2 linked regions of the Danio rerio genome follow. Each later gene encodes a partner of the first gene's protein in a complex. Links are inferred from orthologs where the notes say so. Each region holds a gene or a part of one and is shown on either strand. Other genes may lie near its edges.

What was found.
Region 2: the proteins of bcar1 (region 1) and sh2d3ca are in contact, whole or in part, in a crystal structure (PDB 3T6G), measured with the Homo sapiens proteins. The link is inferred for Danio rerio from reciprocal best matches to the Homo sapiens genes BCAR1 and SH2D3C. Residues at the interface, in NP_055382.2 of Homo sapiens: Ser739, Gln742, Phe746, Tyr747, Gln750, Asn754, Val779, Ser782, Lys783, Ile786, Leu787, His790, Val793, Phe794, Ile795, Asp797, Thr798, Arg801, Gln802, Ser816, Asn817, Cys820, Leu823, Arg824, Val827, Lys831; in NP_733745.1 of Homo sapiens: Thr543, Val544, Pro545, Val547, Gly616, Val617, Arg618, Glu622, Thr625, Leu626, Pro627, His628, Leu749, Leu752, Leu753, His771, Gly772, Val773, Glu774, Val776, Leu777, Leu780, Glu781, Ala783, Arg784, Ala787, His788.

Annotation. Positions count from the first base shown.
Region 1 is NC_133193.1:23,996,915-24,000,675, reverse strand, and holds the start of bcar1 (breast cancer anti-estrogen resistance protein 1), read right to left. Parts: upstream 2,680-3,761; 5' UTR 2,455-2,679; coding exon 2,443-2,454; intron 1-2,442. UniProt on the Homo sapiens protein: Docking protein which plays a central coordinating role for tyrosine kinase-based signaling related to cell adhesion. Implicated in induction of cell migration and cell branching. Involved in the BCAR3-mediated inhibition of TGFB signaling.
Region 2 is NC_133185.1:10,826,143-10,829,803, forward strand, and holds part of sh2d3ca (SH2 domain-containing protein 3C), read left to right. Parts: intron 1-2,639; coding exon 2,640-3,342; intron 3,343-3,661. UniProt on the Homo sapiens protein: Acts as an adapter protein that mediates cell signaling pathways involved in cellular functions such as cell adhesion and migration, tissue organization, and the regulation of the immune response.

The sequences.
Region 1 (3,761 bases):
TCTAGTGGAAACATGGCTTTAGATAAATCAGCACACTCCTCTGTTAAGTATTAATCTAAAAACATTCTAGTATTGATCACACCTGCCAACCTTTTTAGTTCTAGGTAAACTTCTGTAAATGTTTTCCTGTAGCGCTTAGATTATTTTTAGTCAACTATACATGATGTTACCAAATGAGCTGAATTTGGACTAGATCAGCGCTACTTCTACACAACTTGATGCTGATTGTATGCATGCGAGTATGAGGATAATGAGGATGAGGAGCTGGTCCTGTACGTCAGACCCCCAGGACAGTGTGTGGGATTCAGGCCAGTGGTGGGGAATTCCTCTCTCCTAAACTGAGGAGCTGCAGGGTGAGTCAGGGTTTGAGTCAGAGAGGCGATGCACGGGGAGAGATGGACTCAGGTTACTCAACTGTCCTCTGAAGAAGGAGTCTTTCTCTTATTTAAAGATCCCTAACAAAACATGACTCAACATTCTTAACTTAGTAACTGATTCAGCCTGGTTACCTAAAGAATGATCTCAATAAGTCAACAGTCTATGCACTCACAATAGTACGTATCACCCATTTTCATCTTCATCATGGACCACCTCAGGAGAAACCAGTATAAACCAGTATAAACCAGTTTAAAGGGACAGTTCAGTCAAAAATGACAATTCTATTATTATTTACTCATTCTCCACTTGATCCAAACCTTTATGAGTGTCTTTCTTACATCAAACACAAAATAACATATTTTAAAGAATGTTGGAAACCAGTAACAATTTATTTTCCACTGTAGATATTAATGTAGATGTCAAGTATTTTTTATATATCCTTATTTATGTTCAAAAGTAAAAAAAAAAAAAAAAAAAAAAAAAAAAGAGAAAATGGTAATGTTTTGAAAATACTTGAGAGCACTTGAGGGGTCAGTAAATATTAAGAAAATGTAGATATTTGGGTTAACCATCACTTTAATACTACTACCAGCCTATCCTGTGATCATTATGGGACGCATTGTAAAAGAGCAAACAAATACAAATTGTCATACTTTGCTTTATTAACATTAACAGCATAACATGCTGATTTGTAAGTGTTGTAACATAGAGACATTTAGGTGGAAAACGGACTACAATTCACAGATTTTCTATATACATATATATATATATATATATATATATATATATATATATATATATATATATATATATATATATATATATATATTTATATATATATATATATACATACAATAAAAATCATACATTTCTTTCTTATGTTGAACAAAAAATATTTTGAAGAATGTTGGAAATCGATAGCAATTGATTTTCTACCATGGATAGTAATGGATAGGGGTTTCAAGTATTTATTAAAAATATTCACATTTATGTTAAAAAGTAAAAAAGAGAAAATTATAAAGTTTCACTTGAGGGTCAGTAAATATTGAGTAAATTTTAATGTTTGGGTTTTCCATCCATTTATTGCTACTACCTACATATCATATCACGTAATCATTATAGGATGCATTTAAAAAAGTGAACCAATTCAAAGTGTCATACTTAGCTTTAGTGTACCATAACAAACTTGCTTATAAGACACATTTAAAAGCGTGTTAACACCAGATGGAATAAGCGACTAAACTGACAGATTTCCAATATATGTAGACAAATTAAAAATAATAAATGCCTTCAAAAATAAAATTAACTAGAAAATCCTAAATTCTCATCTCCAAGAATCATCTGTCTGAACTGCATTAATAACTGCCCATAACCATTTCAAGGTCTATTTTAATGACCAGGGAATATCCCGGCCTCTGCAGGGGGTGAATCCCAGAACCAGATTCCTCTCATACGGAAACACAGCACAGCCCAACTCTCACGTCCAAATACCTAAGCACTGTGTCATTCTCAACTCTTACAAGCTGAACAAGAGCCAGCAATTTCAAACAATGGCAAGGAATGGATGCTTCACTGGTCCGGCCGTCACGTCACGCTGTTCTTTTCTCCCTAAAATTTCTCCATACTTCTTTCCATAAAAACCTTAATCTTCCAGCGTTCTCCTGAGTCAGCAAAGAAGAAGCTAACAGTGGCAGGGTTCCTTTTCCGTCCACTCGTCCTCCTGTTATGCCTGCTTTCTCACAGCTTTCAAAACTCAAGAAAAAGCTCAATATTTTCTTTTCAAGAATAGAAATATATACTCATTTTCAAATATATACTGCTAGCCTCTCAAAAAAGTGTTACACTGCCTCTTTTAGAGCTTTTCAAGCTACTTGATCTCCTGCTGCCATAAAAACAAATCATATAATGCTAATAAGACAGAAAACTTGATAAAAGCCAATCTTGAAGACTCTCTTGTTTTTCTGCTGTCCACAAAGACATTGATTCAGAAAGTATCACCCGAGGGCATTTCGCATAACCAACTTAAAGTGCTCACACAACAATGAGAACAGCAAGCACACTCACCAGATAATTCATTTTCAGCCCTGCCGTGCGAGTCTCTGGGACTCCAGACAGCACTAAACTGCCTGAGATTTGACCCCCGAAGAAATCCCACTCGGACCGTCCACTCTTTTGTCAGACCTCTCCGCGTCTCCCAGAAAGTCAGCTTCTAACACATACTCCAATTCCGTGATGTCAGAGGGCAAGAACGAGACTGTCCCATATACTTCTGTCTCTTGAAGTCGCTGATTCTCTCACTGCGTCCTTCCTGCGCTCGTTCTCTCCCACCCTCTCCGGCAAAAGGAGGAGGGAAGAATGCACAGGGAAACCTGACACCCTCCCAGTTCCTTCTCAATCCTGACATTCCCTTTCCCTGCTGCCGATTGGCCGAGGACTCTGTTCTTATGTTAATGAGCCTTACACTCTTCCTCCCCCTGCCTGTGAGGAATGTTTAGTGAACCTCTCTGTAGACCTGAGAAACACACACACACATACTGGGTTTTTTGGCCATCACACACAAACACACAGCTTTGTCTAGACCCTTTCCTTCAGCCTCAACTTTTTGGCTTGCTGATTTTGTTGCCCATCCTTTTGTTCCAGCAGTAAATCCATTCTCAAGGAGACAAAAGTTTAACTCTCTATTGACATTTGCAGTGTTTGGAAATGTTTAACCTGTTTTATCTCAATATATATCTTGCCTGAATTATTAAAGTACCATCAATTCAGAAAAGGAAGGATTGGGAAGATTGAGATGGAAAGCTTTGTTATGGATTTATTTACATAGCTATTTATTCAGAGTATTGCTGAAGCAAAACTTTGTTCTTGATTAATTTCCTGTCTCTATTTTAAAGTACAATCATTTAGATGCATCACAAACTACAGAGAAAAAACAGACTGATAAAAAAAACATATGAAGCTTAAAAAGACTAATTATATATATATATATATATATATATATATATATATATATATATATATATATATATATATATATATATATATATATATATATATATATATATATATATATTTATTTATTTATATATATATTTATATACATATATATTATTAAATAAAAATAAATGAAAATCAAATTAAATAGAAAATAGAATAGAATAGAATAAAACTAAATAAAATACAATTTTAATAAAACAAATAAATGAAATAAAATAAAAATTTAATTAAATAAAAAATATAAAATAAAACATAATATAATATAATATAATATAATATAATATAATATAATATAATATAATATAATAAAAAATGAATAAAAGCTAATTAAATCAAATTAAATAAAAATAGAATAAAAAATGTAATAAAAAAATTAAATAAAATGATTG
Region 2 (3,661 bases), on another chromosome or scaffold:
GAAATTAGTTTATTATCAACTTAAGTTGAGGAGAAATGGCTAATTCCCTTGAAACCCAGGTGAACAAACATGTACATGTTCTACCCCATTAAAGGTAGTTAATAACAAAAGATATCCTACATGTTTTTGGCTGTGAGACGTAGTTTGGACGAAGTTGTCGGCGATTCTCCCTATAGTAAAGTCATGCAATGTGAATGTCCATGTCGCCGAACCATCTTGCAGTGTAAACAAAGCAGCGACGAAACGATAGCCCAGATAGTCATGCAGTGTGAAAACATCTGTGACACGACTAGTTTGAAAATCATGCAGTCTGAACTCGGCATAAGTCTTGTAAACTGTATAGTGAACATTATGACACGGTTTCCCTTGCCTTGTCCTGCCATGTTTTAGACCCTTCTTTTGTTTGTTTATTCCTGTCTGCTGCCAGCCTTTTGGCCATTTGCTTCTTTATTTGACTTCGACTCTGGATTGCCTGTGTACATCTGTTTGCCCCTGTGTTGACCTTTGCTAGCCTGACCATCCTGCTAATAAAACCTACGTTTGGATCCGCACACCCTGCTGTCAGTCTTACTTCACATTACAGAAGTAATAGGGTGGAAAAAATAATAAGCTTGTGCTCCATCCTGCTCCATTTCGACCATGTTGAAATGTATTTTTGTTAAAGAGTTTTTCTGTATGATTTTTCTGTTCGAATTAAATAATCAAATCACTATAAACACTGCTACATATAACCCGGGAAAAATCTGAAAAAACTCAACAGTTTGGTTAAAAACATTATAAAAAATGTAACTCAGTGGGTTGATTTACATTTCAACATAGTCGAAATGGAGTGGGATGAAGCACAAGTGTATTATTTTCCCCATCCCATTACCACACACATCATTCGTCTATTACTTCAACTATTTCTTCTTTTACTTATTTTTTCTTTTTACATGAGACATATGAGCTTTACATGAGAAATATTTTTTCCTTTTGGCATCTTTGACATATTACATGTTTCATTCCATTTGTAAGTTTACGTTTTATTACATAAACCTAAAAAAATTGCATAGTATTGCAAACAGCCATTAATTGAAATTTAATGATACCTTTTTCATTTTATAATTTCCCCTCTATTAATTAAAATATTACTTTAATAATATATATTTATAAAACTTTTTTAATTGATTAACTTCCTGACATTGTTTAAGAATCTGTTCCAGACTGTGCCATAATTTCACACCACATACAAACATACACAATTTTTTTAAAGTTGTTCTTATTTTAAACCTTCTTAAAAAAAGATTTTGTTCTCTCAGATTATATACCCTTGTCTTTCTTCAAAAATCTTTTGCATGCATATTAGAAGTAATTGATTCCTAGCTTTAAACATAAATTGTGCTGTTTTTAATTAAATTTATTTTGAGTTTGATTTGAATTTATTGACAGCCATGTATTAACATGTCTCCGTAGTAACACGTATAATCATATCAGCAGGACAGGACGTGTGCAATTTAACTGGAATTAAAAGATCTGTTCAGCTCGCTGTGATCATTGTGATCAAATGTGATCAATAATAAATTTTACAATTTTAAAACGTTTTTAAAACAGTGCATTAGATATATTATGAAAATAAAGAAATAAAGTCAGTTAAAGACCACACCACAGCAGCATGTCAGTACAATTATAAAAAAGACAATTCAGTCCCAATTGTGTGTGACATAGTGTGTGACTCATTGTTGCAGAAAGGCTTGAATTAACTCCAAAACAAATCCATCAAATAATCCATGAGAAAGTTCTTACTGTAGTATTTTTTCGCAAACGTTACGTGAGATCTGCCGCTTTCATGTCTGTCACTGTGCTGTTTATTGTAGGTTTTTGGAGCTTTACAGAAACATTCTGGAGACACCAGAGACTTATCTTAAATCTTAAAAAAGGGTAAAATAGGTGCCCTTTAAGATTTATTAATTTGCAACTGCAAAATACAGTATAGCCTCACATCATGTTTCTTCCTTTAATTATACGTCTACATGGCTGTGTTTCTTTACCCCATCTCCAAAAATACACAAGAACTACATCAATATTAATAATTCAATATGTTTTTTATTTCAGTCTGTCCAATGTCTGAATAAACTCAGTCTGGACAAGACCGCTGAACTAGGCAAGAAAACAAAACCAAAATGGGGTTAAACAGTGATAGTTCTCTGTGAGCTATAATTATTAAGATAAATGAACATAAGTTCCAACAGTGATAAAGAAAACATGTATATGAAAAAAGCTTTTTTTAAGATAAAGCTTTATTTTAAGTATCGCCTTCCTGTTTTCACAGAGTCTTAATTTCCTCCCCTGTTCATCATAATCACTGCTCTTGCATCATGCTATCATTTTAATCAGTAGGAAATATTCTGGCTTCATTTATGAGAAACCGACTTGTTCATATGGTTGTTTTAGAGACTAAAGGGGCCGATGAAGTTTTCCCACAGACAAGGTCAGGGCTTGTATGTTTACTTATGAGCCTGCATATTTTGTTCTCACATTAAAGGAACTCTTGGAATGACAGGGTGCACAGCGGACGTTGCAATCTCTCCTTTTTCACCACAGAACGCTTTATGAAACTCAAATCTGTTTTAACATGCGCAAAATGTTTTCTCCTTTCTTAGGCTTCAAGTGGTTTGGTAGCCTCACCAACCTCCGGCGGAAATCAGATGCGCAGAAAGATGACGAATCAGTCAAAGAAATGTCCACTGACGACATGGGCATGCATCCACGCAGCCCAAGCTATGCCACCTCCAGTGAAATGTACACACACATGGGCACCATGCCACGCCATTCGAAGAAGGACAAAAACTCGAAGAAGAGCAAGTCCAAAGACAAGGCCAACCTCACTCGGAGCCAAAGCTTGAGACCAGACCATGTGGTTGAATCTCCTCTCCTTAGTATGCTTTCTGGAAAGGGGATGGAGGTTCTGGAAAACCCCATTATTGAAGACAAGACGGCTCACATCCAGAATCGAGACCTTCCACCTCCTCCATGTGTGGATGGACACTCAACAAGGCTGGAAGATGAAAATAAGAAGCTTGAAGTAAACTTCAAACATGTTGATGCATCGAATGCATGTCTGGGAGCTTCAATAGAACTATGCGTGAGCCAAGAGTCAACGGTCCAGCCAGTGTTGCCCAAGAAGAGACTTAAAGAAGGAGACAAACTGATGAAGGACACTGAGGAGCTCAAGCAGGACAGTAACTTGATCCAGTTGCCTCAGAAGACTGGCAACCGGATGGAGAAGAAGATAGCAGTAGAAGAAGATGCTAATATAGTGTGGAACTATAAACTTGACGGCCAAGAAGAGAAGGAGTTAAACAGGTAAGAATTCGCTAAGTTCATTGATTCTTAATTTGAACTTTTAGCTACCTATTACTGTATGTACTGCTATGGCAAGCCGTTTTACATTTCTTTCTGATTGCTTAAGCACAATTTTGAAATTAAGACTCATTTTGTCAAAACACTACACACAATTTACACATGACTAATATTGACATAAACATGATTAACACCAGCATTTGTTTTAGATGTTTTCAATTATCTTGTAGTTTATGTCCAGCCTTAGTGATGACATGAGACATTAAACGTCAACAATAATCATGCGAGATAATCATCTTGGTGCAAAAGGCTTTAGTGTCAT